Linked DNA regions of Mus musculus: regions 1, 2, 3, 5, 6 and 7 are each reported to be linked to region 4. Evidence: microRNA targets listed by miRTarBase, many of them from high-throughput screens and not tested one by one. Region 4 holds a microRNA gene; each other region holds the end of a gene's coding sequence.

Region 1 (3,000 bases), not on the chromosome of region 4:
ACTTTGTCTTCTCTGCCATACTGTTAGCACTGTTCTCTTCCTGGGAGGTCTCTACAGAGCCTTCTCATCCTTTTCCCTCCCCAGCACAGAGCTCTGCACTTATGTGTGTTCCTGTGATGTTTGTGAAAATATTAAGGGTTATTGTGAAGTGGGAGGTATGGCCAGCTTTCCTGCCACATCACATCTCTTTACACTTATGTGAACTTATTTCACATGCATGTATACACACGACCTGTGTGCCCAGAGGAGGGCAACAGATCCCCTCCATAGACATGCTAGGAACTGAACCTGACTACTCTGTGACCAATGATCTCTCCACCTCCAGCATCCCTCTCACAGCTGCCACCTGTTCACCAGAGGAAAAATCAATTAGCCTGCAACAGAGCACATCTGCCTATACCCACTCGCTATCCTACGACAAATAGCTTCCTGACAGCTGGTTTACTTTGCCTTCATTCGATTTAATTTTCAAACCAAACCTTAGAATGACAATTGATCGTCGGAACTAGAACCATGATGGTATACCACCTGCCATGGAAATGGCACCAAACATTGGGAGAGAGAAGGTTTCACAAAGGATCAGGGTTAAAGGGTGAGTTGCAATGGAGCCATAAGCCACACTCGCACAGGGATATTAAGGGCAAATCTAAAATTCCTCAGAGCCAATGCAAGTGGTCAAGAACACAATGCCAAAGGGACCTTACTTTTTAATAAAAATATTTTATTAACTACCTAATACAAAGTGATAGGTTTCATAAGTATATTAGGATCTTAAGAATTCCATATACTCGAGCGGGGCCAGAGCAGGGCCAGAAGCAAGCAGAGGTCCTGAGTTCAATTCCCAACAATCACATTATGGCTCATAACCATCTGTACAGTTACAGTGTACTCATATACATAAAACAAATAAATCTTTAAAAAAAAGAATTCCATTAAACAAGACAGACAGACACTTCTGCAGACATAGCTTATTTAGTCCAACAAACTTGGTTTGTATTTTTTGTACAGGGTTTTGCTGTGTAACCAAAGCTGCCTTCACACTCTCATAAGCCAGGCTGCCTTGAATTCAGAGGTCCTCTTGCATCAGCATCCCAGGTACTGTGTATGTATTTTCATCACATATACATTATAAGGCCCATCTGCTCATTGTCTGTGTGTGTGCCACTAGTGGATCTTTTGGTTTGTTTTTTTGCTCTTTTTTGATATAGGGTCTTACCATATAGCCCAGGCTGGCCTTGATCATGATTCTCTCCAGACTCCCAAGTGTTAGGATTATAGTAGTATACCATGATGACTGGCATGGGTGAATATATTTTATTAATGAAAAATATATTTTATTAATGAAAAATGGGGTGGAATACTATGCATTTTTGAGTAATATTGCCTTGAGGAGGAGATATAATTTAATTTTCAAACTACATTTTAAAATAGTGTTAAGTAGCCAGGCAGTGGTGGCGCATGCCTTTAATCCCAGCACTTGGGAGGCAGAGGCAGGCAGATTTCTGAGTTTGAGGCCAGCCTGGTCTACAGAGTGAGTTCCAGGACAGCCAGGGCTACACAGAGAAACCCTGTCTCGGAAAACCAAAAAGAAAAAAAAGTGTTAAGTAATTAGGACTTAATTTTTTTTTTATGTTTATGTATATCTTTATATCTATATATGCCACATGTGCTAAGGTACCCAATGAAGCCAAAAGAAGGTGACAGATCCCCAGGAGCTGTTATAAGCAGTTGTGAGCTGCCTGATGTGGGTGCTAAAAAGTAACCTCTATAAAAGCAGCAAGCATATTAAACTACTGAACCATCTCTCTGCAGACCATTTCTGAAAATTTTATGTATTTTGTAACATGTTATGTATGAGCTCAAGTGAAGGTAAGAGGCCAACCTTCAGGAGTGTGTTCCAGGGATGGAATTCAGATCATCATGCCTGGCAGCAAGTGACTTCATTTACTGGGCCACTTGCTGGCCCTGCCCTGTTTGTGCTTGAGGCAGAGTCTCTCTCTACACAGAAGAGGCAGGCCCTCAACTTTCCATCCTTCTTCCTCAGCCTCCTGAGTGCTGGGATTACAGGGGTGTGCCACCATGTAAGGTCAATTCGGTTTTTAGTTAGTGATATCTTTCTAAAGTAAATGCCTCACTATTTAAGCTATAACACTGGAATACCCATTAAGAATGGCAGGCTTTCCACACATGACAATATCACTTTATACAGAAGGAGAATACATGTTTAGGCTTTCTTTAGCAGGAGTGCTGGTAACTGGATTTGAGCATTGGCGTGTTGAATTTCATCATTGGAAAACCTAAACTGAACACTTTTAGGATCATTATCTAACAATTTTTTTTTTTTTTTGGCAGAGGCTTAAGACATACACTGGCTTCTAACAAACTGAAAAAAAAAATCCACGTGCCGGGAAGGGAGCTCACTGCACACCACAGGGCCCTTAGAAACCGAAGCACAAGGCGACGCATGGGAAACTTCAAACAGGCAGCTTCAAGATAGACTTAATTTTTCATGATTCTCCCAAAGCCAGTCATGGTATTTATTTAACTTGTGGTCTTCAGGGTGCACCTGGAAGAAATGCAACATTCAGCCATAGACATGTTTAAAGGTTTAGTGAGGGGGTTCATCATGATAATATACCTGAGATAAACGGGACATGGAACCCCACAGCATCCAAGACTGTATATAGTTATACCTTATACAACAGATATCCTACATGGATTACAAAGTGCTCTCCAGTTCAGAACTAACCCAGACCTGGAGCAGAAGGCAGCGATGATTAGAGACCCTGTGAAGCTAACCAATGGCTCTGGTGGTGAAGGGGTAGAACTGTGGCCCTTCAGTCTGGGTTTCTCTAGACATCACTGACTTAACGCAGGGCCATACTGTGAGGAGGCAGTGTGCCAAGCTACCCTCCAGCTGTCACACTGCCATCAAAATGTACCAGTGTTGGGACAGGAACAAAGGAATGGGTAGTTTTAATAGGACCCAGATGCCACATT
Region 2 (3,354 bases), not on the chromosome of region 4:
AGTGTGGTGTTCTTCCTGTGCCTGGTTCTGTAGCGAGGCAGTTTGTGTTATGTTGAGGGAGAGGCTACTTGTTTTAGATGATACCATGAGACCTGGAGAAGCAGGAAACCAGTTATACAGAAGGGCCTCTTTGGAACAATAATGGGAGGCTAGGTTCTTGGGTGTGCTATGTATTTTGGGGATATATTTTGTTTGCCAAGGTCATGTCTGGACATCTCAAGGTGAGCTCCTACTTTTATAGAGTCCTACAGATACCTGAGTTTATGGTGGAATCATCATGGCTTTCTTCAGAAGAATTCTTTTCAAAGGAGAGTCTTGAATTTTAACCCCACAGGCCCAACAAAAGACTGGTGATGCTTATGTAGCAGGGTTCAGATTTTCAAAACACTTTTGTTTCTGTAGATTTGTGTTCTGTTGGCATGAACTCTGAAAGGGCTTAGTGATGCACCTTATACTTCTTGGAGATCTACATGCAAGAATGGTCAGAGGAAAGAGGGACAGAGACAGTGGTACATCAGTTATACCCTGGGAACCTGTGCTCGCTCTCTCTCTCTCCCTCTCTCTCTCTTTCTCTCTCACTCCCAGTCTGTCTGTCTCTCTGGCTGCCTGTCTATGTCTGTTCCCAGTTTTCTTACCAGAAATGGGTGTACAGGAGGATGTATAATACATGACAATATGTATATATAAATACATATTTATATATAATTTACTGCTCTCCCTAGAGTTGTATCCAAGCCCTTGAAATTTTATCATGTTTATTTAAATCAGTATATTTTAGGTTACTTTTTGATTAATGTCTGATTTTTAATTCAATGGTCTTTATTTGCATTTACTGTTCAAGTTGTAAAAAAAATATTCTTTGAATTCTACTTAGCTCACAACAAGATCATTTCCTCTTTAGCTGCCTGTCAGAGAGTTAAGGTTAAAATGTACTCATAGATGTCTGATTTCCTTTTTTTTTTTAACTTTAATTTGTTTTTATTTTATGTTATTTGTTAAGATAAAACTCTCCCCTTACCTGTAATTTGCTAAGTGGAAGGGCCATTTGAAAACCTCTCCTGCCAGGCGTGGTGGCACACACCTTTAGTCCCAACACTTGGGAGGCAGAGGCAGGTGAATTTCTGAGTTCGAGGCCAGCCTGGTCTACAGAGTGAATTCCAGGACAGCTAGGACTATACAGAGAAACCCTGTCTCAAAAAAACAAAAACAAAACAACAACAAAAAAAACTTCTCCATAGATTTTTCTGCTCTCTTGTAATATTGCAGACATATCCTTTCCTTAGGAACTAGTGATGTGGTTTTGGTTTTAATTCCCCAATTTTCCCTCCCCCCTTTGTGTTCATAAACTACAGTATTTTAAAAGTTTTGAATACTCCCTTTTGCCAACTACTATTGCTGGAGAACAATGGCACACAGTGGATTCTACAGTCAATAACGTGTGGACTTTCAGAGGATGTCAACATTCTCTTTATTCATACTAGTTATATGTTTTAGAAATTCTGGACTTTAAAATTTCCAAAATTTTAAAATTTCAAAATTGTGGAATATTTATGTAGTCACTAATTTTAGACAGAAAAAGAAATCCATTAGAAGTTCTCAACACTTTATATTCTTAATTATATAGCATACTGAGATAGCTGACATAATAGTTAAATTTAAGTCTGAATACGTATTCATAATTGTTCTTATTACAATCCACTTGCGTTACTCTTACCGAACTGAAAAGCCTCATAAAAATCATATTTTAGAACGGAAGCTGCTAACTCTTTAAAATACAGAGAAGAAAAATCTCAAGAAATAAACATTCTGAAAAATATAAATTTTGATTATATTCATAAGACAAAGATAATGATTCTCTAAAGATGTCAGTAGTAAAACGAATCCAAGAAGTAAATATAAAATAGGAAGATTTCATTTCTGAGAAAGAATGCTTTGATAATTTCTTTGCGGGTAAAGCACACTTTCAGAGTGTCTTGTCTCAGGGTAGGACTGGAAAGGTACTTTCTTCTATTTCAAAGCTCAAATGCAGTTAACATCTTCGTTGTGTTGTGAAGTAATGAATTAACCAGAAGCATGCTATTTCCATATTAAATTATTATATAAAATTATTTTTTAATTGAGTCTTCTGAATAGTGAACTAGATGTATCTACTACATTTTGTTTTCAAGTCATTGCAGGAAAATTATGGAAACAGCATTGAGAGATGCAATGCCTTCTTGTACCACAAGAGGGAAGCACAGACCTTTTTAACAGAATTCTACTTTCATGGTTTGAAACTATTTAAAAATATCTTTCTGAGAGGCTATCTTCCATCCTTCCACACTGAAGTGAAATTTAAAAGATATGTCTTGTTTATAAAACAGAAATATTCTTAATATAGTTTAGTGAGTGTTTCATGAAGAGAACAAGCCTCAGAATGGATGGGTTGCAGATTTCTTGTACAGTTTATAGCAACCACAACACAGCTACATACAACTTATGGCTTAAAAAAAAAAATCAACAACTGACCAGAAAGCTCACACGATAATTCTACAATATCTGATATTCTGTATATTTTACCTTATGGCTGCAAAGAGGAAAAGAAAAAAGAAAAAACTCCAGAAAGAGTTTTACATTTTTCTTGATTATGAAAACCTATAACTTTTTCTTTAATATTATAATTATAATACATATCCCAATGGCAAAATAATTTCCCTGAAAAGCAAGCTCAAAATTACAGCCCGATCATATGTTGATAAATACGTGAAGCCTTTTAAAGCAATACACTCGTTTAAGTACTAGTACTGTGAGAGAGATGTTTGTACAGTCAGATGAATATGCAGAATAACTTAAAACACCTTCCCAGCCTCTCAGTACTACAGAAAGTTCTTTGAAGTAATGGAAAGAGACTGCATGCTTTCAGTCTTTTTTTTTTCCCCCCCTTTAAAAAAATGTTTCCATCCTAGGTTCCTCAGCCGCCGGCAGAGGGCGCCCTCAGGAGAGCAGCGTGTGCCTGGGCAGGCGGAAGTGCTCAGCTTTAGAGCGAAGCCTCTTTTCCTGGGGGTTGGCATACTTCCACTTGGAGGGAGACATTTTAAGCTTTTTCCTCTTCTTATCTGTACACCACACCTTTTCGCAGTATTCTTCCACTCTCTGGAAGTTGCTGTAGCCAATCAGCTGCAAGAATTCCTTGTACCACGGTTTTGTCCCCTGAGACATACCGCTTAAGGGAGGGCAGGGCATCTTGTGATGTCTTTCCTCTTCATGGTCCTTATGAAACATGCCCTCCACTTTATGCTCTTCGACCACCTCCAAGGTGATTTTACGCACAGTATGGACAAAATTGTGTTCTACTGTCTGGCAAAAATAGGTCCC
Region 3 (3,354 bases), not on the chromosome of region 4:
GAGGCATAATAAGCCTAAAAATTAAGCAAAATATTCCAATTTGTAGAAATTTCAGTTTTATTAATTAAGGTAAATTCTGAGTGCCAGTGAAAATAATGAAATCATCGTGTGTGTTATTTTGTTTTTTAAATATTAAGTGTTTGCCTAATGATAAGTATAAGATCTGAATATATCCATGTTAATTTGCTTGCTTGTATTATGTATACTTTTAGGAGCTATTTTAAGTTGAGTGTTCTGAGCTCAGATTCACATTTTCATTTTATGAATTCAAAGCCATCCTAATAACCTTTAAAATACTCACTGGAGAAAAGACATTTTCACTTCAAAAATGCTTAGACATACGTGTATTTTCACATCTTTCATATGACTTTCAAGTGATTGTTAATCAGGCAGTGTCACTTGTAGTTACAAGGCTTAAAACTTTTCCTCTTCATTTTTCAGATTCTCTGCAATGACTGTAATGGACGATCCACAGTCCAGTTCCATATCTTAGGCATGAAATGTAAGCTTTGTGACTCCTACAATACTGCCCAAGCTGGAGGCCGTAGAGTGCCAGTGGATCAGCAGTGAGAAGCCTGTCCTTGGCTAGAGAACAGCTCTGTGATGGAGATGAAGCTCTGTAAAAGATCCCAGTGTTCGTTCATCTGCATCAGAGATGTTTCATACCACTGTCACAACAGGGGGTCACAGCGTGAACACCTGAGGATTCAAGATCTCTGGATGGAAATGTAATAGAGCTTACTGGGTGATTGTAATAGCGATTACTGGGTGAAGCCTCTGAGCGTGTGTAGATTGGAAATTCCTTTAGTGTCAAGTTTTGAAGCCAATGATGTTAGTCCCAGATATAGTCACATTCATCGAAATATTTTATATTTTCATGGAACTTTAAGTGATACTATGCACGCAGAGTTAATTTCTTGTTCTTGATAGAACTACATTCAATTTTAACTAGTCTTTGATTTTAAGGGCTGTACTGTGATTTTTAAGTTCTTATTAAAATCTAATTACGTGTGCTTCTTAATTTTCTTTTCTTTTCTCTCTCTCTCTCTCTCTCTCTCTCTCTCTCTCTCTCTCTCTCTCTTTTGGTTCTTCCAGACAGGGTCTCTCTGTGTAGCCCTGGCTGACCTGGAGCTCACTCTGTAGACCAGGCTGGCCTCGAACTCAGAAATCTGCCTGCCTCTGCCTCTCAAGTGCTAGGATTAAAGGCATGTGCCACCACGCCCGGCTGCTTTTTAATTTTCTAAGACAGTCCTTTGAATACTATAATACAATTTTATGTAATAAATTACTAATGAAATTGTACTGAAATACTGTTTTACAGACTTTTTTTCCCTCTAGGTTGTTAATTTTTGGCTCTTGTGACAACATAAGCCATCATATATAAAAGACATTTTCCCTTTGAGATGCTTTTATGGATGAATGATTTGGGAAAGTATAAAGTAATGACGCTCTTCAGTGCTCAAGTCCACTGTTACGGTACAAGTCCTTCCGTCTGCCAGAATTACTTCCCCACAGAGTAATTAATTCAGCTGGTATTTTAGTAAGCAGCTGTAAGCCAGGTGTGGTTCTAGATGCTTTAAAATGACAATGAAAAGTTCCTTGTAGTGGTACATTCTGCCATTCCTCATATTTGGTCAACATATTCTGTCTTATTAATGCAAGCAGTATGTGTCGTCAGTGTAGACATGGATTATTTTCTAAGTTCTCAGGAGATAAATAGGATGAAGTAGTCCTGGAAAGGGCTCTCAGTTTACACTTCTCTGTGCTTACCTAGAAGAACTAAGTATTCCTCGAAGTTAATGAATATGCCGAGCATAGATGGGTCATCTGTATCAACCCCTATTCCCCAGGCTCAGGGAACAACATGGTGGGGGTGGATGGGAAGGACATGAGAGCTGGAAGATGAAAGAGGACGGCTGGGAAACACTGGGTTTTGACATAACAAGGTTGTCGCATGTGAACTTAGAGCAGCCACGGTTGCCTGCTGAGACCTTTATGAGATCAAGCCTGTGAAAAATCCTGCAAGGATAAAGTGAGCCCTGAGCCCTGCTTGTAGCTGAAGAGCAGATAATGCTCCCGTGAAGGGAGAAGCATTGCGTTTCTTAGGGGCTGTGGGTTGCGGGTGGGTTGTCCACACCCCAGTGGATGGCTGCACCTGTGGGTACATGGAAAGCACTAGTTGGACTCACTGGGTTATTAATTAAAAAAAGAAAGGGTCATCTGGAAAGGTGGGTGAGTGGTTCAGAGCACTTGCTTTTCTTTCAAAGGACATGAGCTTGGTCCACAGGACCCAGGTCAGAATTTCAGGGTTTCCAACACATACTGACAGCCAAGTATACACATAAATTTAAAAAAAAAAAAAAAAAAAAAAGGCTAGGCATGGTGTTCTGTATTCTTAATCCTAGCACTTGGGAGGTCTAAGTTCAAGGCCATCCTGGGCTACATAGAAAGACCCTCTGTAAGAGAAAAAGAAATTAGTGAGATGTGATGTGTTTGGAGGTCTTGATGGGAACTGGAGGGAAGTAGTGGGAGTGGATATGACCTAAGTACATGTATGAATTTCTGATGAAGTCTTTAGGGCTTTTTTTTTTTAAATATGATGCTTGAATACTGTGCCAGCTGCTTTCATGTCAAGTCATCAGAGAATGGGGAGTCTCAGTTGAGAGAATGCTTCTGTTAAGACTGGGCTGCAGTCCTATAAAGGATTTTCTTAATTAGTGATCAACTGGAGGGCACAGTCCATAGTGGCTGATGCCATCCCTGGGCTGGTGGTCAGGGTTCTATAAGAAAGCAGGCTGAGCAAGCCACAGGGAGCAAGCCAGTAAGCAGCACCCCTCTGTGTCTTCTGAGTCAGCGCCTGCCTCCAGATCCCTGTCGCGCTTCAGTTACTGACCTGGCTTCTTCAGGGATTTGGAAGTGAAAGCCAACTACTTACCCTTTTCTTTCCCAAGTTGCTTTGGTCATGGTGTTTCAGCACAGCAATAGTAACCCTAATTAGAACAGAAATCTTATTCTTTCTTTGCTGTTGCTAAATTCTCTGACATCCTGTTGGGGTGGGAGGAAGTGGTGAGACCAGCATCCTTTTGTTCCTTAGAGGAAGGACTTTAACCTTCTTACTGTAAAATATTATGGGGCTTTTTTTAATTAAGTGTGGTATATTTATTATCTGTGCTCATCAGTAGCATTGGTTTGTAGTTTTTCTTTTGGTCTTGCCTCGCATCGCAATGTATTACCGTAATGCTGACGTGTAAAGTGGGTTAATAAGTAGTGGGGTTGCTCTTGTGCACTGTGGATTCAGAGACTGAGTTCTGTGCTCCAAGATCAGGTTGCAGTCTGGACATGGGCAGTGTGTTG
Region 4 (3,000 bases):
AACTATTTAAGAGGACTCCTTGAAACTCAGAATAGGAAAGTCCCTAGCCCAAGCCCAAGTCCAGAAGCCCAGTTTTCCTCTCTGGCTCTTCACAGCTGCCCAGACACAAGGCAGAAAACAGAGGAAGCAGGAGAAGGTGGCTCCTTTCCCTCCCCACCGCCCACGCCTGCCACCTGCCCAAAGAGCTGTTTCTAACAGACCTGTCACCTGAAAATATTACAAGAGCTGCTTGTGTGTGCTAACACTTGCATCCACGACTTCCCAGTAGCAAGGCTGAGCTGGGCCAGAAGCAAAAGGAAAGGAAAGAGACTAGGTGATGTTGGGCAACCCAGATGCCAAGTGAGCCACCTCATAAGCCCTGAGTGACTCTGGCTATGGGGAAGGGAAGGTACCTTTCTCAGGTACTGATTGTGGTTGCAGATGTCCCTCAGTGGTTTCCAAAGTACGGCATGGCCCAGAGTCACCTGGAGGACTGTTGAAATACACAGTGCTGTCCCCACCCCAGAATTTCTGCATCAGCTGGTCTGGGAAGAGGTTGATGAATTTGCACTACCAACTCCCCAATTTCTAGCTGCTGCTGGCCTGAGACGTGCCTTTCACTCACCCCACTTTAGAGGCACAGGGGTGTAAAGACCGGGATGTAGGGAAGGTAGATCCTTTCTCCAGTGAGGGTAGCCATGGGGACAGCTGGATGCTACCCCCACATGAAGAGACTCCACAAGAAAGATCCCCAAGGAGAGGAGGCATAAGGGTGAGAAAGGAGAAAAGGAGCTGTGGCCATCGTTGAGTTGGTGACACAGGGGCACGTGGAAGGAGCCACCTGCAGCTCAAGAGCCAAGTACTACAGGAAGGGGCCCCCTTGTCCTCCTTTTCTCTCTCCCCCACCCCCTTTCTTTTGCCCACCATGCCCTCTTCCCCCTTAGCCCACCACCCTTCGAAGACTCTGGCTTCAGTTGTTACTCCAACAGGGCCGCGTCTCCAGCCTCCGAGCCACACTGGAGACACGTGCACTGTAGAATACACCTGCGCCTGTCCTGGCGCCTCCCAGGGGAACCTCCACTCCCTGAGGGGGACCCTTGGGACAACTGTTGGCTTCTCTCATCCCTTACCATAGCTGGTCCCCCCCTGGACCTCCCACTCCTCCCCAACCAGGCTGAACTTCTACCCCAGGCACTCCCACTGTACTGACCCCTTTAAAGCCATCCAGGGCCAAGTGTGGTGATAGAGAGTGGGAAGGAGGAGAAGCAGCCAGGTGGGAAGGCAGGGGTTGTTAGTCCTCTCAGACTGACAGTCTACTCTCCAGTCTAGAAGGGAAAGATTAGGGAAATGGAAAGAGGAGGGAGACAAGAGCCCAGTATCGGGAGGAGGTGATGGCCCTGGCCTGGAAGCTTTAAGATGAGTTGAGTTGGGTCAGACTTTGACTTCTCCTCACCCTACCCATCTTCAGTTGCCTCCTCCACACAGTAGGACCACTCTGTCCCCATAGCCCTCAGGTTTCTAACCAGTAAGGCCCAGCTCCCATACATGTCACCATAGTCTCCTCACAATTCCCGTCATCTTGGTTTCCTGTGGTCTCTAACCTTCCTGCCTCTGTGACCATGAGAGTTGAATTGAATACAGTGGGACAGTCACTGGGGACTGTGGTGAGTATCTGTGACTCAGAGCTGTGTCTGGGGAGATGTTTTGGCATCAAGGAAGCTTGGGTACACTGTTCCCCAGGGTGTACAAGAAAGAAGAGACTCTGGGAATCAATACCCCGAGAAAGGGTCTCGGTGAACTGGCTGGCCTCCTGCTCCGGTTTCTATGAGCCTGAATGTCTACGACCCCACCTCTCATGTGGCCTTGGAGATAGGACCAGAGCTTGACCCAGCAAGCCTAGAAGCCTCTGCAAGTCAGACATAATGGTCCACTCAGGAGAAAGGAATGTCGAGTGACTAGCTGGACCAGTGTCAGGAAGGGAAGTATGCCAAAGGAAAAGATATGGTCAGACAAGAGTGGGTGGGTGAGAGAGCCAGTGATGGTCTGCTCACTCGGACCCTCACAACTTGATGGATGCTCCTTCCCGGTGCTGTGTGTCATCACCTTGCCACACTGCCCTCTCTGGCTCCCCCATCAGGCCAGGAGCTTTTGGGGGAAAGGACAGCATCCTGATTGTCCCATAGCTCTTCTGCTCTTAGCATCATCTAGTCTCCAATGAGAGCCCAGAAATGGTGGAGGCCAGCGACCTCCTGAGCAGAGAAGTGGAGTTCCTGGAGGTCCCAGGTGGGGAGACAATGGCGGTCTCTGTATCCCAAGTCTGGCGTGATGAGAGACGTAGACAAACAGCCCACGGAATGAGAGGATGCTTTTCCCTGAGAACTTTTGACAGCATTTTCAAGGTATCTGGCAAGCCAGGAGACCTTCTGCTCTTCAGGATCATCTCCAAGTGGGAAAAGCCTAGGGTCCCAGGAAGAGCAGGTGAGCAGCACCTCTTATTCAAGGACGTCATCTACATGGGGAACACCTGTCTCCACCCCAGTCCTCCTGGGAATTCCTATGAGACCAACGTCTTTAGACCTCAGGTGTCATGACATTGGATGCCCAGTTTGGTATGGGGTGTATGGAAGGTCAGAGGAGACAAAAAAAAAAAAAAATAGCCAGGTTCTCCCCTAAAGGCATGGGGCGAGGCCCTCTCTCCTGTGGCTTTGGACTTCTCAAGTCCTGCTTTGGCCAAGGGATAGACTTGTCATCTCTCCAATGTTGGAATGGGACTGGGTGTCTCTCTCTAGGCCTGGGTGGAGCCTCTTGTCTCCCGCTCTTCCATTGTCCCCTTCCCTCCTGTGCCCACAATAGATAATAAATGCTAAATGGCACTGACTTGACACAGGGCGATGTATGGCTTACAGAAGGGCAGGAAGGGAGGGCTGACCAGGGGTGCTGGGCAGAGAACTAAGTGTCCCATGGTACCTGCCTGGTGGTTGGTCCTGAGTGTCCCCAGCCCTCCCAGTACCTCCCCAGGGA
Region 5 (3,288 bases), not on the chromosome of region 4:
AATAATGAATAATGTGAGTGTTGGAATTTTCACATTTTGATGACTATTGTGTTCCCAGTGTCAATAACGATGTGTGGGGTCAGCAAGGTGGCTGATCAGATCTTGCCACGAAGCCTGCCTCGTAACCTGAATTCAATCCTGGAGCAAACATAGTGGAAGGAGAGTGACTGTTCCCCAAAACAGTCCCCTGACTACCACCCAAGCCATCACACGTGTGTGTGTCCTGCCAGGCCTCCCTCCATGCACAAATGAATAAATGTAATTAAAAAAAATTAAGCACAATGTGTGGTAAGCACCAAGAACTCCGCTCACGTGTGTGGAATGAATTGTTTTATTAGTTGTCAGCACATCAAGACTGATGAACAATCATTTCTTATTCTACCTTTGCAATAAATTCCAAATGAGCGAGATACATAAGGATAGACCTTTGGTTTGGTCAGTGAAGGCGTTTTAAGGCAGACAAGATATTAGTCTCTCCATTTTTAAACAGTGTATCTGACCTCTTCATCTGAATTATATGCCCCACAGTTAACAACTGCTTTTTCTTTTCTTAGTAAACGTTCACTAAACCAAGAACAGATAGAATGAGCAGCAAAAAAATAAAATAAAGTACAGTTCAGTGATGGCCATGCATCAAAATAAGGAGGAAACTTAAGCCTTGGAAGGTGGGCCAAGTGTAACAGCTTGCTTTGTTTCCGGGACTTTTCCTTTCCAGAGAAGGGTTAATGAAACAGAGAAGCCTCAAAAGGGAAAGATGAACAGATGTGCTGGGTTGCCTATGTGACCTTGAATGTACACTAAACAAACCAGGCGAAGCGTGATCCTTCTGATTGGATGACCTCATGCTATTGAACAAACTACTTTCATCCACCCAACACATTTTCTAGAAAAAAAAATTTTTTTAATGGTTGGGAAAATTCCCAAAACCTAACAGAGCCACAACCCGATAGCTTTTCTATGGAAAGCTACTGCTCAGTTTATTACAAAAGCTTTGGGGAAAACTTGACCATGAAGAATCTGGCTTCTTTTCTCAGGATATATGTCTTTAAGGAGGTGTTTCTACACACATCCCACAGGCCAGCAGCCCCTCTTCTTTCCTCCTGAGGGAAGGGCCAGGAATAGTCACAGCTGCTGGCTGAAGGGTTCTGAAGACTTCTGATTTCATGGCACTGTCACCTCTGAGGTAAGGTTGCGGGCAAGGACTCAATATTGCTGTGTTGGGTAAGTTTGTGGTGACAATGCCCATTACCCACAGAAGCCAATCTTAAAAAAAAAAAAAAAAAAAAAAGGAAGTTGCTTACTTTGAAATAGAAATTCCACTAGGCATGGTGGTGCATCTCTTTAATCCCAGCACTGAGGAGGCAGAGGCAGGTGGATCTCTGAGTTGGAAGCCAGGCCTGTCTACAGAGTTCCAGGACAGCCAGAGCTATATGGGTGAAACCCTGCCCGGAAATCAAAAAGAAAAAAAAAAAAAAAAAGACATTCCCATCACACAGTAACTGTTAAAGGGACAAGGCTACAATAAAAGTTGACTGTAGAGAGAAAATCTTAACTGGATCAAGAATTGAAACGGAGAAACCTGTTAGCATTCTAACACATTGATGGGAGCCTCATTCAAATTACACAAGTTAATTCGTACATAACCCCCTCTTCGGGGACATAGACACAGGAAGCCAGCTAAACCATAGTCAAAGGTTCTGCTTTTAGCGCCCCTTGCTCCTTACAGACTGGAATGCATACAGGCCAAAAATTAGCTCTGGGTTTTCAGAGAAGAGGTGATTTCACTGGGGAGTGTGTGCCTGTAAATGTACATAGTTTAGCATTTGTGCATATGTATTTACACACCTTACTGTGTCCCCACAGGGAAATGGCACAATCTACAAAGTGGCAAACAGCGAGACTGATATTCACACAATGAAATAAAGAAGCTTTCATTCAAGAGGTTTAAACAGAATTCTCAGGCATCTTAGGTTAGCAAAACCGTTTCCTTTCACTCCCGGACCTAATGATTAACAGCGCCACCTCTACCCCCAACCAAACTAAGCTCCAGTAAGATTGGCTGCTGGGCACGGGATGCTGAGCTTTGGCCGTGAAGCTAAGCACATACTCAGCAAACCAGTCCAATCACTCTGTTCTTCCCCTCATGGAAAATTCAGAATCTACCAAGGAAAGCAAGACTAGGAAGGCTTTCAGTAACAGAGAATTAGCTCTGTGATTCGGTTTGCCTTCTACTCGGCTTGCTACGGAGACTTCTTCCCAGCCACCAGACACTAACTGTCCTCAGCACACGAGTAATGCCTCACATATTTTTCCTGCTTACATTATTTCTGGATTCACAGATGACACTGGAGGGGCAGGGCTTTGGTTTAGAAGCTCTTTATGTTAAATTAACAATATAAAAGAGGGGGGCTCTTTGCACTAAAGTTCCCCACCCAAGACCAACCCCCCAGAGGTATTTGAAACAAAGTCTCTGTAGAGAACCTGACAGGAAGTCTTCAGCCAAAATCCAGGGTCCCTGGTCACATGTCCCCTCCCTTATTATCCCAAGTAACAGTATTTCATGTTCTAGCTCTGCGAGGAAGCCAAAGAAGTTGGGGAGGGAGCTGGAGAATAGCCACCTTCACCAGCGACAGCTCACAAGGAGCAGAGGTCTACTTACCCGCTGTCCAATAGCAGCCCCCTCATCCTAAGGGACACATGGAGTCTAGAGCCCCAGCTATCTACCCCACACTGCCCCAGTAGGTCCTGGCATTTTCTTGCCACACAGGTAACAATAGTCTTACAGTGTCTCATAGTTCAGTCCCATAGATGGCTTTGTGACGTAAATATTCTTCTAAACACTGAAGAACATTATCATCCACCTTTGGGTCAAACTTGTTGGCCAAGAGGTGATGGTTCTGAAGTATCCAGTGCAGGTCCCCTGACCCATAAACACAGACAGCCCGCTGGTGGATTCCTGAGCAAGACGTGTAAGGTGCCCCGTTCTCAATGTCTCCCTCATGGTCGTACCACTTGGTTAGTCTCGCAATGGCTCTCATGTCTGACAGGTCAAATTTTCGATGCAAGGGATCTGATCCAGGCATCCACGAGGCACGCTGGAGGGTGGCCCAAAGGTGCTCATCGGGACTATAGGTGTCTTTTACCCACTCGATCAGTTGCCGGGCTTTTGAGTTACTGAACACGTGTTCAATGAAGTCTCGAGAAGCCACCATGTAGGCATTCCCAGTGAACATGGTTAGGTTATTAGGTGGCGGCGTCTTCCTCTTGCTGGTCATGTGCAATGTGTCT
Region 6 (3,354 bases), not on the chromosome of region 4:
CCGGGTCTGGTTAAAGGAACACCAAGCTACAGGATAACTCCTCTATGGCCTCAGCATTAGTTCTTGTCCTTCTATGATGAACTGTGATGTTGTGTAGTGATGTTGTGTAAATGTCAACAAAATAAACCCTTTCCTCCCCGACTCACTTTTGGTCACAGTGCTTTACTGTAGCCATGGAAAGCCTATGCCATGGTCATCAGCCCCATTGGGCAGGTAGAGAGGCACAGCTCAACACTCAATGCAGACCTGCATGCAGCACGGGGTGATCCTTTCTTTAATCCCCAGGGAACCTTGGGAGGGGCACAATTAAACCCTATTGTACAGCCAAGGTCCCGGAGGTAGCGAGCGGGTGGGTGAACTGTCCAAATCCCCCACAACACTGAAGTAGTAGAGAAAGTCTGTCTGAATTTTCAGCACAACCGATGCAACCATGACTCTGTCTGAGCCAAGGGAACAGAACTTCTGTAAAACCTAGCGTAGACCAAGTTACACAGAATGTTTTGAAGCCTTGGCACAGTTCATCCTCACCCCCAGCCCCAGAGGACAGGCAACTGGCAGACTCCAAGGACAGAGCTTCAAAGACAAAATGGAACACCCCCAAGGCATTATTGTTACCCAGAAATCTTTATTACAAAAATATTTTGCAAGCCAAAAATTTTAAGTTGCAACTATGTACAAAACAGGGCCTGTTTCCTTCTCATCTGGTCTACAGAAAAACAAATCCCACTCCTCACAGGGCGCTTCTGTTCTCTTCTTTGTACCAGGGTTCCATAGGCTTGGGAGCCCCCAGGCTGCCTGGTTAAAGCCAAAGCTACACATCTTCCCTTGCCTTGTTCCTTTCTCCCTCCAAAAAAACTTAAGACAAAATTAGGATGCCAGCGAGGACATTCTTTTAACTCATCTATACACCCGTGTGTGTATACACATGTGATGTCTTTAGGCAGAGGAGAAGGGGGTGGAGCTTTACCAACCAACCCTTTGGAATTAGAAGACAGCCCAAGAACATGGCCCGGACAAAGACAAGTTCTGGTTTGCTGGGCCAGTGAGGCCAACTCAGCCTAACTTCTAGATGCCATTATGAGAAGTATCAGGTCACCAGCCCTACAGAGCTGGGTCCTTGCTGTGCTCCTAACATCCCAGTCGCACCTACAGAAATAGGCAGGTTGGCTCTGCTTACATGAATAGCTGGAATCAGGAATCCCCAGGGATTGGGGACATTAGCGCCTCCACTTCCTGAGCTACATGTTAAGACCAGATAGTCAGGGTTGCCATAACCACTTGGCATTGGGCCCAGCCAGGCCCCGGCATCCAGTTTAAAGGGTGGAGGGTCAGAGCCTCTGCCCAGACTCTCGAGCCAGTGACAGTGGGTGGTTTGCCCTGGCTCACAGCTGTGTTGTCACAGGTATGACCAGGTTCTGTTCCAGTGTGATCCTGCTGAGGTTTGCTGGCAAAAAACGGACTCCTCCTTGCACTGATTACCTCAGAGAGCTGGCCGAGTGTCCCTTCTCTCTGCATGCCTCTGAAGTGCTTGTGAGTGAAGGGGGGCATCACTGACCTTGTCCCCTCAATGTGGAATGGCCAACATTAGGTCAGCATTGGGTCAGACAAGGCTGCACTTACCACAGTAGCCATGGAGGCAAAGGGCCAGCCATGTGGCCTTGTAAGAACAGGGCCTGGTTCGTCCCAGTGACGCTGGGTGCTGGAAGTAGCAGCTGAGGGATCCTTCTTGGTCCTCAGGATTCTGGGAATTTGAAAAAAATCTGTTTCTGCTGTAAGAAAATCCTTCCAGGACAATAAACTGTTAGACCTCAGACTTCACAAGACCCAACCATTCAACACATGACAAAGAGCCAAGATGCTGCTGCTGTTGTTTTAAGGGAAAGAAAAAAAATCAAAAAAGAAAAAGAAATTAAAAAGAAAAGAAACCCAACAACAACTAAACAGCATAAATCAAATTTTCTAACACCTTAGCTTTAAGACTGCACAGTTCACATTTCTCAATAATTTACAGGCGTCCACAGAGCGATGCTGCTGAGTTAGTGCTAGCTGGAGGAAGCAAGCTGGGACTGGAAGGGAGGTGGGGCCACACTGAACATGCCCAGGGAGTCTCTGCTGGTCTAGGAGGAGAGGGTTCCTTCTCCCCAGGGCTAGTCAGCCTGGGAGGTGGGGAGGCCAGCACTGTTGGCTGAAAACTTGCTGACTTCTGGTGTAGTTCTTCCACAGATGGGGCGGTTTGATCTAAAGGGAGTCTGGTCCCAAAGCTCAAGTTGGGTAGAGATGGTGAGCTCTTCTCCACACAGAAGACCAAGCTCTGGAACATCAAGGACGCAACCTGGGGTTGCCAAGACCAGGATCCAGACCCACGAGTGATGGGCCGAGGCACAACACTTCTTGGATTCCAGGCAGCTTTCTCCAGTTCGCCCTCTGGTTCTGCAACACCCAGCCTCCGGAAGAAGGGGACGTGGGTGCCCAAGAGGTGTTGAAGAGCCACGGAGGGAAGACAAAGGCCACCCTTACCCCTGGTCCTAGGACCCGTGCCACCTGGCCTTCTGGGGACAGGATTGGCTGGCTGGATGTCCTCGTCATGGCCACTCCATGTAGGACAAGAAAACTTGTGGGGATGGGGCCTAGTACAGACCACAGCCCCATTCACTTCCTCTGGACCTGGACACTAGCATACTCTGAGAAAGATGGCTCAGGCTTGGGGGCTGGCTGTGCCCGGCTGAGGTGGACCATGTCCAGGTCAGCATAGGTGAGGGTATCCTCTGGCCTAGGCACTTTGCCTGTCTCAATGCTTGCATATTCTGTGTGGTTGTTAGGCTCAGGGGCCCGGGGTGCGGGCTTCTTCTCTTTGGGCAGATTCAGGTCTGCGTATGTGATGTCGTTGATGTCATTTGTGTCCTGGATCTAAAAGACACAGAGAGAAAGTCATTCTGGAGCCCCAGCCTATTGACCCACCAACTGGCAACAAAATCGGCCCACTTCTTTCCCAGTGGGCTCAGCCTTCACTCTGCCAATGGTATCCCATTTCCAGCCTTTCTTCTTCCAATCCACCTTCCTCCTCACAGAGCCCAAAGGGTCTTCTGAAACACTCGGGTGGTTATCACATGTCCCTTTCCAGTCCCAGCTTGCTTCCTCCAGGTTCATGTCACCTCCTTCTTTCTGGGTGGAACCACCTGAAGCTATCCCCTCCCCCTTCCCATATCTTTTCCTTGTCCTGGATCACCCACTCTCACCTCTCCCACATAAGAGACCCCAGTGAACCATGTACAATTCTGCTCTAGCACTGCTCTACCCTAAGATACTTCTTGGTCCTCAATACCTCTGGCTGGACCCAGAGCTCCTCTGAGCAAT
Region 7 (3,302 bases), not on the chromosome of region 4:
TGTTCCCTGACTACTTCTGTGGCTCTGCTCTTTAAGATTATTCACTTAGGGATTACAGTTCAGCAACAGAATAATGAGCAAAAGTCTCAAAATGTACCAATGTGCAGATTTCTCCACTGTGAAATCTAAACCAAGAAAATATAAGTTATGTTTGTATATACCCTGAAATAAATTATAAAACATAATGACCAAAATAAAGATGTTACAACACCCTCTTTTAAAATCTAGAAAATATACTTCCCTAACAGTGGTGAATGGAACAGGATAGAGTAGGTTTTTTTCATTGGATATCTGGATACAATCATTGAAGTAAATAATTCCATTGCCGTCATGTAGAAACTGTGAAATAAGATAATAGACATAAGCCAGCTCTCCCTTCGCACGGTTCTTCTTAACATCCATTCACGTAGGCGCACCTTTTGATGCTGATGATATAATTAGGCTGTAATATCTAAATAAAGATCCCTTCTAAATGTGTTGCAAATTGGAAGTGATTTTAAGACCTATTCTAGAAGCCATTGTCACATAGAACTCAAAGGCATCCCACTGCATATTTTATCTGTCAATTTACTCGCTTCCCTCATACTCACATGTCTTTCCCCACTCCCAAATTAGACTTTAAAATCCCCGAGGGCAGGACCTATCTATCTTGTTATTCCCTCTTGTACCCAATATTGTGGCAAGTAAGTTATGGGGTGCCCTGTGCTTATAAATGGATGAGGACATGACTGAGAATGGAAGTACATGCAAACTCCACAGCTGTCAGCTTTTGTTTCTCTTATCTCCACTTAGTCAAATGAGATGGATCGAGTAGCATATCTCCATAGTGATATGTAGACATCAAGTTACCCTCTTATGGGATACATAACGTATTCTTCACAACATCATTTACCATGTTGGGCTTTAGAAGATGCTAGATAGTAAAACTTCACCTTACTCATAATAGAAAGGCTACAATCAAATATTTACCCTTAAAAATATCCATGGAATGTGTCTTTGCTGCTAGAACTATCAAAGAATAGAATATGTTAACATATCACTTTTCAAGACCTTGTTAGAGTGCACATCCATTCTAACAACTTCTAGGTAGATGAAAGTTCTAAGGAATGGGGTTCGGGAAACTGTTTCAGAACACTGAAAGACGTTGAGTTAAACCATCTTCACTAAAGCCTATAGGACATTTGAAAGAAATATCTGGTGTCCTGTTAAATATTCTGAACTTCAAAAATGGAGAATAGAGGTAGATCCTCCAAACCCTTCCATGCATGGTCCCTGTTAAAAGGCCAGGAATGCCTTGTAATCACTGATGTGATCTTCTGTTACCAGTAAGGGGTTACACTCCTTCGGGAGAGTTCTCTGAACTCTCCTCAAATTCTTTCCGTGTTTATCTTTCTGTCATTTTCTTTCCAACCATGAACCTCAAAAGCAATGACATCTTATGACATACATCTTTAGAAAATGGATGTTTATAATTGGTCAATATTTGGCAATGTTCAGAAAACATTTTTTTTCATTATCGAATGGGATAATGATGACATTTCTTTGATGAAATTCTAATAGATTGGTTCTGAAATTCTAGAAAATCTATTATGGTCTTACAAAATACTCAATGCATTCACTATGTGACTAAATTTAAAATATTATAACTGATGATTGATCTTCCCACTTGGGAAGAAACGCTCTATGGGAATTCAAGGGAGTATAATGGCCAGCAAACTTCACAGTGCTAGTTGTCACAGGGTTCGTAACCAGCTCTGGCAAGAGCTCTGTGACTCTGGGCCATTTCACAGTGTTTGAGACATATGGACCTCTGTTATGTATCAGGAGGAGTAATGGCTCAGGTGGTTTTCGAACTACTTAGGGACAGCTGTCGTAGTGATGCAGAGTGGCAAATAGGCAGAGAAAGCAAGTCCTGAGAACGTGGTGTCACTTTGTTACTCCACCTTTCCACTCTTTAGATGTTAAAATTCTGAGCAAAATTTACTTTTTAAGGACCCAGTTAATTTTTACAGTTCCATTTCACCATAATATACAGTAGTTCACATTTTAAATATGTCTTCATCTCATTTGTGGATGCTCTTGGTTCAAGTACAACAAAAATTTAATATTTTTTTTACCATTGTATGTAGCTTATCTTATACTCATAACATCTTCCTCCTTAAATAAAAAGAAAAAACGAGTCGTGTCCCCTTTAAACATAAAACTAAGGACAACATGGAAACTGGGAAAGTCAAGACCTGCCCATGCTTAACTTTAGCGTTATCTTTACATGCTGCCTTTGGGACACTTCAACACTGTAGTGAGTCATCCTTGAGGTAGAACTAAAATAAAACACAGCAGAAAAGAAGCAAAAACATTTACACAAAGCGGGAGACGGGAAGGAAAGCTGTGAGCACTCTTCCTTTGCCTGTACGCAGAGCTAAGCTTTACAGTCTTCCTTGACACACAGCTGGGAGATGGTCTTCTTCACGCGCAGGGCTGTCAGGCGTGCTGCCCCGTTGGCGTACCAGCACTCACGCATTATTCTTCCCATGACCCGCAGCGCCTTCAGGAGAGAGAGAGACAGCAAAGGTTTGAGGTGTGCAGAACAGAGGATAAAAGAAGTGAAGTCAGAGATCAGGGGATGATCGAGGAAACTGGGCCAAACTTCTGTAAAAATCCTGTTATAAAGACACAAACGTTAACCTTGCAAAGACTAGCTGAAACTTCTGGGATGCGATGATGGCTATTTTTGAACTCTGCTAAGACAGGCGATGATAACTGAGTGCTGCGGTACAAGCTCATAGTTCCAGTACTGGGGAGGCGGAGGCAAAAGCAGCAGGAATTCAAGGTCAGGCCAATTCCATGAATCCCTGTCTCAAATAGAACAACTAAAAGGAGTCATGAGCTGTGGAAGGCTGTGGAAACGGTATCAATTCCCAGTCATATTTAATCAGATGCGCACACGCGTGAAAAGAAAGTCATCAGACTGGCAACTAAGATTTATACTTTCACCATTCATATTGTGTGTGGCGAACGATGGTCTGAGGGTAAATAGAAAAACTCAGTATAAACGAACTGTCAAAGAAAAAAAAAAAAAAAAAAGACATCCACTTAGGCGAGAAGTCAACGTAAAAGCAAGAAACATGAGAGACCCGGGGAGTCGCTGAAGATGGGCACCCCAGTAGCATATGCTCAACTACTAATGTAGAACCTCGGAGATGAGGGACCACATGTGAAAGACAGGAAAGTCAACACAAAGCAGAGAAGAAGTTGCAGATGGGAAAGGGAGGCCCTAGATTTAAGCAGGAAGCTTGAACTAG

Evidence for each region. The annotated mature microRNA mmu-miR-139-5p reads UCUACAGUGCACGUGUCUCCAG and lies in region 4 at 996-1,017, opposite strand. An mRNA with a match to its seed (bases 2 to 7 or 8) in the 3' UTR can be bound and repressed. Matches are read on the target gene's strand: a 7mer-m8 pairs with bases 2 to 8, a 7mer-A1 pairs with bases 2 to 7 and ends in A, and an 8mer does both.
Region 1: the mRNA of Mbd4 is a reported target of mmu-miR-139-5p. Seed matches in the 3' UTR shown: 7mer-A1 at 1,524-1,530.
Region 2: the mRNA of Sema3e is a reported target of mmu-miR-139-5p. Seed matches in the 3' UTR shown: 8mer at 1,422-1,429, 7mer-m8 at 1,347-1,353 and 7mer-A1 at 1,143-1,149.
Region 3: the mRNA of Rchy1 is a reported target of mmu-miR-139-5p. Seed matches in the 3' UTR shown: 7mer-A1 at 1,138-1,144.
Region 5: miRTarBase lists Gcnt3 as a target of mmu-miR-139-5p. Seed matches in the 3' UTR shown: 7mer-A1 at 1,401-1,407.
Region 6: the mRNA of Sirpa is a reported target of mmu-miR-139-5p. Seed matches in the 3' UTR shown: 7mer-A1 at 706-712.
Region 7: the mRNA of Acvr1c is a reported target of mmu-miR-139-5p. The part of its 3' UTR that is shown has no 7-base or 8-base seed match.

The regions. Positions count from the first base shown.
Region 1 is chr6:115,839,997-115,842,996 of GRCm38, forward strand. Mbd4 (methyl-CpG binding domain protein 4) reads right to left here. Exons shown (of 8, transcript NM_010774.2): 8 at 701-2,566. The coding sequence ends at 2,489. Among named protein-coding and RNA genes, the nearest start is that of Efcab12, 3.1 kb to the left of the region's middle.
Region 2 is chr5:14,252,410-14,255,763 of GRCm38, reverse strand. It overlaps Sema3e (sema domain, immunoglobulin domain (Ig), short basic domain, secreted, (semaphorin) 3E), which reads right to left. Exons shown (of 17, transcript NM_011348.2): 17 at 1-3,354. The coding sequence ends at 2,974. Among named protein-coding and RNA genes, the nearest start is that of Sema3e, 230 kb to the right of the region's middle.
Region 3 is chr5:91,946,952-91,950,305 of GRCm38, reverse strand. It overlaps Rchy1 (ring finger and CHY zinc finger domain containing 1), which reads left to right. Exons shown (of 9, transcript NM_026557.4): 9 at 442-1,464. The coding sequence ends at 570. Among named protein-coding and RNA genes, the nearest start is that of Rchy1, 14 kb to the left of the region's middle.
Region 4 is chr7:101,473,399-101,476,398 of GRCm38, reverse strand. Mir139 (microRNA 139) reads right to left here and starts at 1,023; the gene lies at 956-1,023. All of the region lies in intron 1 of Pde2a (phosphodiesterase 2A, cGMP-stimulated), which reads right to left.
Region 5 is chr9:70,031,182-70,034,469 of GRCm38, forward strand. Gcnt3 (glucosaminyl (N-acetyl) transferase 3, mucin type) reads right to left here. Exons shown (of 3, transcript NM_028087.2): 3 at 315-3,288. The coding sequence ends at 2,790. Among named protein-coding and RNA genes, the nearest start is that of Gcnt3, 5.3 kb to the right of the region's middle.
Region 6 is chr2:129,629,480-129,632,833 of GRCm38, reverse strand. It overlaps Sirpa (signal-regulatory protein alpha), which reads right to left. Exons shown (of 9, transcript NM_001355158.1): 9 at 606-2,907. The coding sequence ends at 2,650. Among named protein-coding and RNA genes, the nearest start is that of Sirpa, 38 kb to the right of the region's middle.
Region 7 is chr2:58,272,499-58,275,800 of GRCm38, forward strand. It overlaps Acvr1c (activin A receptor, type IC), which reads right to left. Exons shown (of 9, transcript NM_001111030.1): 9 at 1-2,545. The coding sequence ends at 2,420. Among named protein-coding and RNA genes, the nearest start is that of Gm13544, 2.6 kb to the right of the region's middle.